3 linked regions of the Canis lupus familiaris genome follow. The protein of the gene in region 2 interacts with the protein of the main gene of each other region in a biochemical or structural test. Links are inferred from orthologs where the notes say so. Each region holds a gene or a part of one and is shown on either strand. Other genes may lie near its edges.

Evidence for each region. The genes of interacting proteins can lie anywhere in the genome.
Region 1: the proteins of MMP14 (region 2) and TIMP2 form a complex in vitro, tested with the Homo sapiens proteins (2 studies listed by BioGRID). The link is inferred for Canis lupus familiaris from reciprocal best matches to the Homo sapiens genes MMP14 and TIMP2.
Region 3: the proteins of MMP14 (region 2) and LUM interact in a biophysical measurement, tested with the Homo sapiens proteins (2 studies listed by BioGRID and IntAct, with this or other methods). The link is inferred for Canis lupus familiaris from reciprocal best matches to the Homo sapiens genes MMP14 and LUM.

Annotation. Positions count from the first base shown.
Region 1 is NC_049230.1:3,368,297-3,372,477, reverse strand, and holds the start of TIMP2 (metalloproteinase inhibitor 2 precursor), read right to left. Parts: upstream 2,801-4,181; 5' UTR 2,799-2,800; coding exon 2,669-2,798; intron 1-2,668. UniProt on the Homo sapiens protein: Complexes with metalloproteinases (such as collagenases) and irreversibly inactivates them by binding to their catalytic zinc cofactor. Known to act on MMP-1, MMP-2, MMP-3, MMP-7, MMP-8, MMP-9, MMP-10, MMP-13, MMP-14, MMP-15, MMP-16 and MMP-19.
Region 2 is NC_049229.1:3,313,163-3,316,904, forward strand, and holds part of MMP14 (matrix metalloproteinase-14), read left to right. Parts: intron 1-276; coding exon 277-437; intron 438-596; coding exon 597-735; intron 736-865; coding exon 866-1,016; intron 1,017-1,485; coding exon 1,486-1,601; intron 1,602-1,963; coding exon 1,964-2,298; 3' UTR 2,299-3,742.
Region 3 is NC_049236.1:32,103,359-32,107,381, reverse strand, and holds the start of LUM (lumican), read left to right. Parts: upstream 1-1,223; 5' UTR 1,224-1,471; intron 1,472-3,903; 5' UTR 3,904-3,924; coding exon 3,925-4,023.

The DNA.
Region 1 (4,181 bases), on a different chromosome or scaffold from region 2:
TATCCCCAATGTGCGCAAGGCCATCACCCTTCATGGGCCCCTGGACCACAGCCCTCGTGGCACAAGGTCCACCTGTGAGGCTTTTAAAACCCTCAGCAAGAGCTGGGCCCAGGCCAGACTCTCTGTATTTACAAAGGGGCCAAGACGTGAGTCATCTTTCAAAGGGCCCCAGGCCATTTGGTTCTCAGAGTGGGGGATCGTCAGGAGAAAGTCACAGGCTAGCGGCCCTCAAAGGAGAAGCAGATACAGAAAGACCACCGCCTTCGCAGTGACCTGAACTCCACAGCCACCCAGGGCTTCCGCTGGGTGTCTCGGCTTCACATATCCCAAGCTGACTGAGCACAGAAGGGCCAACTGCGGCAGCATGGCCAGAAGAGTTCCCCTGAAAACTCCTGTCCACCCCGAACCTGCTCAGGTGACCTTATTTGGAATGAGGGTCTTTGCAGATGTGATGGAGTTAAGAGAAGATCATGCTGGATACGGGTGGGCCCTATACTCAGGGACTGGGGTCCTTCTTACAAGAGAGAGTTTGGGACAGACACACGCAGAGAAATCCACGTAAAGACAAGAAGGCAGAGGCTGGAGTGACGTGTCCACAAGCCAAGGAAAGCCAAGGATGGCGGCAGCCAGCAGGAGCGGGGAGAGAGACACCCGGAGCAGATTCTGCCTCGGGGTGTCCGGGAGGAGCCCATCCTGCCAACACCTTGACTTTGGACTTCGGGCCGCCTCAGCTGTGACAGAGACAACCGCTGTTGTTTTGAGGCTCCCCCGTTAGCGGATTCAGTGCAGCGCACAGGGATCTCACAGCCGGGGCTCTGCTGTGCAAGTCTGGTGTCAGCAGCCCGACTGGGCCTCTGAGCTGGGACGGGGTCAAAGTTTAGGCTCCTTAGTGATTTGGATGCGAAGAAATGGGACACACGTGTCAGGAGATCCAGACGGAGTGAGAGGAACGCACACAGCAAGAAGGAACCTGAAGGCTCGCTGAAGCTCCTCGACCCTGACCCTTTGCTGCCCTGGTTTACTGGGCAGGCCAGGAAGCGGCTGGAAATTCTTCCAGCAGCTGAAGAGTGTGAGGTGGACCCGAGGCCCTGCCCCTTCCTGCAGGCTCCTGCGAACCAAGCCCAAGCGCCTCACGAGGTTCCTTCTGGGCCTTGAGACCATCCCGCCCTACAGCTTCATGGGCAGGAGCCTGGCCGTGTCTCAGCAAAGGGGCCCGGTCAGGCCCAGATGCCCAGCGGACACCCCAGGGGAAGGCCAATGTGCATCGCCCTCAAACCTGCTGGGCAAGCCAAGTTGGGGAGCCAGCCTTACTTAGTCCCCTGCCTCGGGGTTTACGGAAAACTCCTCTGCAAGCACCCACGCCAAGATGGCCGGAGCCATGTGATGCCCACAGGTAAGAACACCTGAGGTCTTCCTGGGCCAAGCGGCAGGTCAATGGGGCCAACTGGGGTGTGGCCAGGGGCCGTGGGGAGCTCAGGAGGGCATGGCCGACAACAGGAGGAACCCAGGGACCCAGGCTCTGAGTCTGCACAGGTGAGGGCAGCCAGCCTCACTGCATCTGGCCTGGCAACCGGACGCTCTGCTGGCTGAGGCTTAGAAGCACAACATAAACCTGTTGAGAAGCCAATTGTGGGGGGGGGGGGGGCAGTGACCCCCCTGCTGTGCATCTGTCCTTGTGGCTAGACTTGCCCTGGGAAATCCCGGCTGACCCTCACCAGGGCAGCTGGAGGCCCGGACGGAAACCTCTGGGGTCCTGGGGCCCAGCTGGTCCCTCCCATTTCTGCCACCTTCTCCCCCACTTGTCTCCGGCCCCTGTGAGGATCCAGGATCGGAACAAATAACGGGCTCCTCCTGCCTCCCGGGCTCACCCCCACCTTTGAGGGGCAAGGGTGCAGAGCATGAGAGACATTTTCCGAGGGTCCTACGCGGCCACGCAGCCCCACTTGGCCCCAAGTCTCCAGTGTGCGGGGATGTCCTGAGAAAGCGGTCCGGCAGCGAGCCTCTCGCGGACCCTCCTCCCACCGGGCCTGGCCGCAGGGCCCCCCTCCGGGCCAGGGGCTCCGGCTGCCCCTCGGGGCTGCCCCTGCGGCCCGGGGAGCCTGGGCAGAGCCGGGAAGCTCCCCTCTCCGCCCCAGCCGAAGCCAAGGTGAGCCCGAGCCGGGCTGGAGGGCTGGAGGGAGAGGCCGGGGCTGAGCGGCCAGCCCTTCCCCTCCCAGCCCCGGGGCGGAGCCCAGCTCCCGCTCGGCCGCGAAAGTTTCTCGGGGTCCCCGTCCTCCCGCGCCCGGGCCAGGGCCAGGCCTGCCCCGCCGCGCCGCGTCCCCTCTCTCCCCGCCCCCCCGCCCCCCGCGCTGGCATCCCCGGGCCCTGCGCCTGCCAAGCCCGGTCCGCTCCCTGGCTCCCTGGCTCCCTTCTTGGGGCTGGGGCTGGGGCTGGGGCTGCGGAGGAATTTCGGTGGAATTTTGAGGTTGAGAAGCATCTCGGCGAGAGGCGAAGAAAGGGAGACGCGCGGGGGAAAGAGAAAGTGCGATCCTGGCGTCCACTTGCAGGATTCCGGGAGGCCCGAGGCCGGCGTCCGGGCGTGGGCCCCGGCGGGCGGGCGGGCGGGGCGCGCGGGGGGCGCGGGGGCGCGGGCGGGGGCGGGCGGGGGCGGGCGGGGGCGCGTGCTCACCTACGTCCGCGTTGCAGAACGCCTGTTGCGGGTGCACCGGGGAGCAGCTGCAGGCGTCGGCCGGGCGCGGCAGCGTCGCCAGCAGCAGGAGGCCGAGCGCCAGGCGCAGGCTGCGGGCCGCGGCGCCCATGGCGGGCGGGGCGGGGGCGGGGGCGGGGGCGCGGGCGCGGGGCTCGGCCGCCGCGGGTGTGCGGGCGCTGGCCTCGGGGCGCGCCGGGGCCGCCCTCCGCACCGGGCCCGCGCTCGCCCGCGCTAACTCTCCCGGGTCGCTGGGGCGCGGGGCGCTGGGCGCGGCGGGGGCGGCGGCGGCGGCGGGGGCGGCGGGGGCGGCGGCGGCGGGGGCGGCGGGGGCGGCGGGCACCGGGGCCTGCGCTGCCTTCTACGGATGCGTGCGCTGCGGGCGCGGGCCGGGCCGGCCTTTTATCGCGCTCCGGGGCGTGTCGGCTCCGCCCCCCGGTGGCCGGCGGCCAATGCGACTCCGGGAGCTCCCGGCCGCCCCCTCCCCGCGCCCCCGCCCTCCCCCGGACGCCGCTTTGTTGTGCGCGGACCCGCCGACCGTCCGGGGCCCAGCGCCGCGCACCTGGCCCCGCAGCGCCCCGGCCCCCGCCCCCGCCCCCGCCCCCGCCCCCGCCCCTCGCAGGTCGCCCGGGGGCGGGGCGGCGCCCAGGGGGCCCTCGCCCAGCGCCCGGGACTCGCAGCCCACCCCCCCACCCCCGGGGGCCCCTTCCCCTCCCCCCTTCCCTTCCCCCTCCCGTTCCCTCCCCCTTACCCCCTCCCCTTCCCCCTCCCCCTTCCCTTCTCTTCCCCTTCCCCTTCCTTCCCTTTCCCCCTCCCCCCTTCCCCTTCCCCCTTCCCTTCCACTTCCCTTCCGCTTTCCCTTCTCTTCCCTTCCCTTCCCCTTTCCCCTTCCCCTTCGCCTTCCCCTTCCCCTTCCCCTTCCCCTTCCCCTTCGCCTTCCCCTTCCCCTCCAGCTTGGCACAGGAGCCAGACACTTCCCACCCCTGGGGGTCCCTGAACTGGGGCCTGGTGCGCTTCAAGGAGGGACCCCTGCCCACCAGTGCCCCTGGGGTGGGGTGGGGGGGCTAGGTGGCCTGGGGAAGCTTCCTGGAGATTCCTTTTATAAATGGAGGTCTTAGAATTTTAAGTGCGCTTGGCCAGTTCAGACGGAGGGGGAGGGGGAGTGGTTACTATGAACAAAACAGGATTTTATATAAACTGGCCATATTTTTGACCAGCCAACAAGAGCGGGGGGGGTGGGCCTAGGAGTCCAGGAGGCGGTGCGATTGGAGGGAAGCATTTGCTGGGCTCTGCTCACACAGTTCTGCTTTAGCCCACGAATGTGGGACTGAGGACTTCCGCCCCCCAAAACAGTTCTGTGTTCCCAGAAAGGCCGGATCTCCCAGGTGCAGAAAAGCCTGTGAAGTGTGGCTACCATGCGCCTGTCACCGAGGCTGCCCTGGGCCCCCCTGTGCTCGGTGCTCTTATACACAGGACCCTGCTCTTGCCCACAGGA
Region 2 (3,742 bases):
TTCCCCATGCCCTATAGTCTCCCCCACAACCCTACCTGACTTTGCCTCCACCCACCACCCACTCCCACTTTTTCTTTTTTTTTACACTATTTCTTCCATATGTCTTATTCTTCTCCCACTTTTGATTTCACCTTTTCTGTCCTTTCCCACCTGATTGCTTCATCCTTCCCCAAAGGGCCATCCACACTTTTCCAACAGTATTGTCTGCCCATATATCTGTTCTTTCCTCCCCCTCTGCCACAAAGTCTGAAGTGTCTCTTGTGTTCTCTACATCAGGGAGTGAGTCAGGGTCCCCCACTAAGATGCCTCCTCAGCCCAGGACTACCTCCAGGCCCTCTGTCCCTGATAAGCCCAAAAACCCCACCTACGGGCCCAACATCTGTGATGGGAACTTTGACACTGTGGCGGTGCTCCGAGGGGAGATGTTTGTCTTCAAGGTGAGAGGAAGAAGTGGGCTGGTTGGAGGAACAAGAGGGCTCTAAGCCCAGCAGGCTGGGTGGAAATAGCAGCAGGAGGGTTAGTGGGACGCTTTGGGGACTAAGCCAGAGGACTAGCTATAAGACGTAATGTACTATCCCCACCCTGCTACTTTCTAGGAGCGCTGGTTCTGGAGGGTAAGGAATAACCAAGTGATGGATGGATACCCAATGCCCATCGGCCAGTTCTGGCGGGGCCTGCCTGCATCCATCAACACTGCCTACGAGAGGAAGGATGGCAAGTTTGTCTTCTTCAAAGGTAACCAGCTTTCTACCTTAGTCCTCTGGTGTAAGGAGAGTCTCCCTGCAGGAGTGGATTTCACTGGACTCCTCCAGAGACCCAAGAGCCCAAGTGGAACCCAGGTCCCGCCCTTCTCTCTCCTCTCCAGGAGACAAGCACTGGGTGTTTGATGAAGCTTCTCTGGAACCTGGCTACCCCAAGCACATCAAGGAGCTGGGCCGAGGACTGCCTACTGACAAAATCGATGCTGCTCTCTTCTGGATGCCCAATGGAAAGACCTACTTCTTCCGGGGAAACAAGTGAGATGTCAGCCCTTGACCCCAGGCCTCCCTCCTCGGACACTGCCACCACCACGTTCCCTCAACTCTGGAGAAAGACCCACTTACCCCAGGACAGTTCCCTGGAGAAGTTGCTGGTTGATCCTCTGCCGTTGCCCAGCAACAGCCAGCCTCCGTGAGGCGCTGAGTGGGAAGTGACCGGGTCACCGTTTCAGACCTGGTCATTTGGCGCCTCCTGCCCCCAGCACCGTGCCTCCACCCCAGCTGCCAGGCACTGTCATTAAAGGTTACTGGTGGCTCCTTGCAGCCTGGGACCTCCCATCCACCCCCACCTTCCGCCACTTTCAGCTGCAGGCCCTCATTACACAAAACCCCTGCCCTGCACCCTGTCCATAGCCACTCTTTGCTCACTGGTAAATTCAGTCCTGGGCCCTGCCATGCTCTGAGGACATGCCCAGGGCCCGACCATTTGCCTCCCCCCTTCCCCCAGGTACTACCGTTTCAACGAGGAACTCAGGGCAGTGGACAGCGAGTACCCCAAAAACATCAAGGTCTGGGAAGGAATCCCTGAGTCTCCCAGAGGGTCATTCATGGGCAGTGATGAAGGTGAGGGGCAAGGGAGATGTCCTTAAGGGAGGATGGGGAAAAGGGATTAAGAACTAAGAACGGGAAGAGACTGAGGGGATCTGGGGAAAGCAGTGATGATGAGAGCTCTGGAACCCTTGCCACATGCCAGGCTCTGAGCCAAGTGCTCTCCTCACATCAGATCCCCAATCCCCACTGCACTTTCAGCCCCGGTAATTTAGAATTACCCGGGTTTATAGCTGAGGAGACTGATGTTAGGGGATTAACTCCACCTGCTCGACTCACAGACTCACAGATTTCCCTTCTGTTCTCCTCTCTGTGGGTGTTCTGGACGCGGCCCCCACCTCTTATCCTCCTGGCCCCCTTCTTGCTGACCGCTGCAGTCTTCACTTACTTCTACAAGGGGAACAAATACTGGAAATTCAACAACCAGAAGCTGAAGGTAGAGCCAGGCTACCCCAAGTCAGCCCTGCGGGACTGGATGGGCTGCCCCTCATCGGGGAGCCGGCCAGATGAGGGGACTGAGGAGGAAACGGAGGTGATCATCATCGAGGTGGACGAAGAAGGCAGTGGGGCCGTAAGCGCAGCTGCTGTAGTCCTGCCTGTGCTGCTGCTGCTCCTGGTGCTGGCAGTGGGCCTTGCCGTCTTCTTCTTCAGACGCCATGGGACCCCTAAACGACTGCTCTATTGCCAGCGCTCCCTGCTGGACAAGGTCTGACCCCCACGGCTGCCCGCCCACTCATACCACGAGGACTTTGCCTCTGAAGGCCAGTGGCAGCAGGTGGTGGTGGGTGGGCTGCTCCCACCTGGTCCCAAGTCCCCTCCCAACCCTTCCTCCCTTCTTTTCTGTCCCATGATTGCCTCTCTTTTGACCTCAACCCTGGCATTGCTTCTTCCCTAGATGGGTCCCTGGGGGGCTGATCAGGGGCCGCCCCTTCCAGCCCCTATCCCCTAGGGGCCTCTGTAGCTTGGTGTGTGTCCTGCCCCATCTGAATGTCTTGGTTCTGCACTTGAAGGCAGGACCCTCAGACCTCGCTGGCAAAGGTCAAATGGGGTCATCTGCTCCTTTTCTATTCCCTGATGTAACTTTAACCTCTGAACTCTGACCTCAGGAGGCTCTGGGCACTCCAGCCCTGCAAGCCCCCAGGTGCACCCCATTGGCAACCTCCTACCACCCTTTCTGGCTAAAGGAATCTAATCTTGTTGAGGGGGGAGACCCTGAGAGAGTAGGAGGGGTGGGGGAGGTCTGCACAGTTACCCTGAAACCTTGGGAGGAAAGCTCAGAGTCAGCGCCTCTGCAGAGACCTGCCTCTGCCCCACCTGGCCCCCAGAGCTTCCCCAGAAGAAGCCTGAGCCATTAAGGGGCTGTAGAAACCCTTGATGCCCACCGCCCCTGCAAATGTCAGCCGAGGCTGCCGCTACTGGGGTAGGGTGGGGCCAAGGAGAGAGCCTGTCAGGAGCCCTGGGGGTGAGCCTCAAGGCCACAGAAAAAGAATCTTGCTCAAATGTAGGCAGCTGGGATGGGGACCAAGGGGCAGTCAGAAGGGGATAGGACAGGACCAAAAGGCTAACCGGGGAGGTGCTGTGCGCATGGAGGGCCGAGTGGCTCGGCAGGCCAGGCCAGCAGGGACACCACAAGGTGGGCTGTGGGCCCCAGAGGAGGGCATGTTTTACTGGAGCTCTGAGGAAGGGCTGGAGAAAGGCACACCTACTCCACTTTGGTGCCCTTCCTCTCACCAGAGTAGGTGCATTGGAAGGGTGGGGAGTCCAGTGAAAAGAGCAGAGATGACACACATCCAGGGACTGGCGACTGGGGACCTTCGTGAGGGTGGCCACCTGGTTAGGGAGGTGACCAGGGGCTGGCAGCACGCTGATGGGCAGCCTCAGCTGGTTTCGGGGAGGGGGCAGCTGCCTGGGTGGGTCTATCGTCAGGTGAGCCCCTCACTTCCTAATGCCCCCACCCCTCAGCTCTGCCCTGTCCTGCCTCCTCTCCCCCACCCAACCCACCCATTCAAAGTCTCCTCTGGCCGCTACAGGTGGTCATGGTACCGGAAGACTTGGGAGAGTGAGACCCTATAGGGGCAGTGAGAGGAGGGATGTCAGGGGCAGGGGGGTGGGGGGGGGATGAACGGTGCTGGCAGTTCGGCTAAATTTGTCGTGTT
Region 3 (4,023 bases), on a different chromosome or scaffold from region 2:
AATTATTTGAAATTGGTCTATTTGTCTTTTTTTTCTGATTTCTTCTAAGTTTATTCACTTTGTTATAAAACTGAGGCCTTTCTATAATGTTCTTAAAATAATAGTAATGAAATATTATGCTATGACTCACTTTACAATTCTATGAGTTATTTTCAAGATTATCTTTTGTTTTTTTAACAGCTCCATGACCAAAAAAAAAGGCACTTATTCTAATATTAATTTTTCAGGCAAATGCATTAGTGGTCAGGAAAATTAACTTTCCACAGGTCTCATAACTAAAAATGACATATTTAAGTTATTTTAGAATGGAAAAATCTTACATTGTGGCAATTTATGCTAAAATATCTGATTCTAAGAGTTCCTGTAAACACAAGGAGAATTTTGGAGGAAAAGTAAATCCTATAAATACAGCTGATACAATCACAACATGAAACAGACAAGAATTGAGTATATCCTTCATTTGCAAAAAGCATGCATCAGGAACTAACAATTAAAGACATATCAAACCAGGCCTTTGGGAGATTACAACTTTGCATAACTTCTAGTTTTGGAAAAACAAAATATTGCTAGCATGCAACGAGAGAGTGAAAGATTACTGCCTTGTGATATTTTTAGTGTACATTTTTTTCATGTTCTTTTATGTTTTTTGGCATTAAGCTATAGAATACCATCCCCAAGTAAGGTTTTGGATGAATTCCTAAATTAAATCCACAAAATAAGAAACAGGCAGGACATTGCTGATTGATTCCAGATCTGAATCGCATAAAATGAATCCCCTTAACATGAGAAATAGACTGGAAATGTTGATATTTACCTTTTATGTCAGAATGTGAACGAAGCATTTTTTCATATTTTGGCAATTGACATTAAGTCACCTCCCTGCCCCCGAATTAAGGTAGTCCCAGTAAATCAGTATAAACTTCAAGAGGAATGAGCCAGAAAAGATTCAATTGCTCTGAGGACCCATTTGCATTTTCCTGAAATTCTTTGTTCTGTGTATGATTCAGGAGACATTTAGATAAACCTGAGAGTTGAATGAGAGAATAGCACCTCATGTTGCCCCAGCTACAGAGGGAAAGAGCTTTCTTTGCCAGAGAAATGCTCCCACAGTGGAGGTCTTCCTTTGCAGCAGGACTCCATTCTTGGTTAAAAGCTAGAGTATTTGGACTAGTTAAGCATGAATCTCTCTCCCATTCCATAGGGAATGAGCTGGGCAGTCCTTCCTCCCCACGTCCACCTGCACTTCGTTAGAGAGCAGAATGCTCACATGCCACCCCACAAGATCCCCACAGTGACATAACTCCATGCAGAGACTGGCGTGACTGGGCTGGGTTTCCCCCCCTTCAGCTCTTGTATCACTAAGAATCTGGCAGCCAGTTCCGTCCTGACAGAGTTCACAGCATATATTGGTGGATTCTTGTCCATAGTGCATCTGCTTTAAGAATTAACGAAAGCAGTGTCAAGACAGAAGGTAAGTGCTGTTTTAACTATAGCACTGGGGATGCTGAATGTTTGGGACAGTGTTTATTGTAATAGGAACAGAAAAAATTCCAGAGCAACTTTGCCAGTTGCTATTCAACAGCAAATCCACAGTTTTGAGACTTTACTTTCACATTTTGCTAAACCTGCTTTCCATGATTTATGGATGTGAGATAAATTTTATAAGGTATACACTGCATTGCTTGGCAAAGGAAGCTATATACAAAGCTTCAGAAATGCAATGAGAAAGTATTTAAACGAGACATAGTAAAGAAGTTTGGCAATTAAAAGGTTTGTTATTTTATGCTAATTAGGTATATATGTTAGTATTGTTAGAACCTAATTTTGGAGCCAAGGAGGGCCATTTCCAGTAGTATTCAAAAATATTCTGCGATAAATGTGTTGTAACTTGTTACAATTTACAGTAAACATGTTATTATAAAATGTGAGCTAAAGAACTCAGACACTTAGGAATTACTTATTTCTGTTTTGTTAATTTTATCAATTTATTTTCTGGATGTATGTCTTGAGGGGGAAAAAAAAGCATGTTTTAAAGAAATTCTGGGAAAGACGATTTACTTTTTGAGAAAAGCATTTCCTCCATAGCCACAGGTATTTGGAAAAAACTGGGAGAAAGCAAAGTGCTCTTTTGCTTCATAGTGGAGTCATTATATGGTCACAAACTCTCTTTGAATTTAGAGCCCTTGTTTTTCCTTTGCCAGAAAGTATGGAAGCATTTTTTTCATCATAATTCAATACTCATATTATAGTGACCATGACTAGGTTAGTGTATACTCAATTTAAAATAAGGTGGAAGATTTTAATGAAGCAAGACAAATCTTTACAACATTAACATATTATAGCTTATAAATTATAACCTATAATTACATTAACACTATGTAATTGTTCTCATGGCCAAGTCCTGTCAACTAAATTAAATGACGCCATCCTTGTCTTAGGGAATAATTTGCCAAGGATCCGGCTGCATGTTACATTATGTCAGTTATCATAGTGATTCTAACAATTTTTTGAGGGTTTCATCTGCTAAAATAAAGTGCTTATAATTTCAAATAGAAGCAAAGAAAACTCCATTTCTAATGGCAAAAAATCCTATTTATCCCAAACCTCCTAGACACCAAGGCTTGTACCCTATTTCTCAAAAGAAGATATATTATTTTATGGTAGCTAGTGGAATGTGGATCCTGCCTCACATTGTGATTTCCCTCCCAGAGTTACCCCCTACCCCCCCCACCACAGCCATAACTCTCCACTCTACAAAAGTCCAAATTTCTACCTAAATTGCTAACCCTGTACTTCCCCCAAGCTATTGAAACGTATTTTATTGAGCCTTACTTAAGAAACATGTTCATATGAAGATCACTGTTACAACCCATTTTTAATTATACTCTCAATTTTGTCCTTTCCTACATGGTTCCTAATGCCACTGTTAAATGCAGACTGTCCTTAATTCCACCTCTTTCCCTCTTCCATGCTGTGAGGGCACTAAAATCCAGCTAAGTGAGCCATGCCTTCTTAAATTGTGGCATGAAGAAGGCAGAGAACTTGTGAGTTATTGAGAAAGGAAAACCTTAATTCAAAACTTGAAAATAATATATTTCTTTACCAGCTGGATCTCATTATAGGTTTAAGTTTTGTTTTGTTTTGTTTTTTGTTTTTTGTTTTTTTTTTTTTCAGAATCTGTGACATTTCCCTGATTAGTAAAAAGTACTTTCTAAAACTAATGTACTAAATATTAATTTTGGAACACAGTTGTGTAGTGTGCCTAAACATCTGGGATGCTAAAGAAAGTCAAAATAATAGGCACACACCCACCCCACCAAGAATTCCGTTCCTCCACCTCAGAACCAACAATATCCAGACATTTTTAAAGGAATGTGCCCCCTCTCACACACACATACATAAGAACAGCTTTCCTCCAGGCAAAACCATAGATTGCCCATGTTTCCCATAAGGGTCTTCTTAAAGAGACATTTTAATGATGGTGAATGGTGGGGTACAGGGTGCAGTTTACAGTCGTCTTTTCATTTTCATTCGTCCAGTTTTGAAGGATGCTCCGAAGCAGTGTACTAACATGGTGGCCAGTGCGCACCACCCAGAAACCTGTTGTAGGAAGGCATTTAATTACAGAAAGACCTAGAGAGATTGACTGGACAATTGGGCCTGACTTGCCCAGAAGGGGGCGCATGTGTATGCAGTCTGACCTGAACCCTGTTCACCACACCAGAAGTTGTACCCACACATCCTTCTTGTGATACTTATTAAAGTTAGAAGGACTTCATTAGAGGCTCTAAAAAAGTACTAGAAAATAATAAAGTACACATTTGCTAATGCATTTAACATTGCAAAGCCAATATCCTTTTCCTGAAAATATGCTATTGTGTAATATGTTTCCACTTTATTTAGGATTCAAAGCATTTGCCAAAAATGAATCTAGGTGTGTTTACTCTACTCTTGGCATTAATTGGTGGTGCCAGCGGCCAGTACTATGATTACGATTTCTCCCTACCGATTTATGGGCTGTCA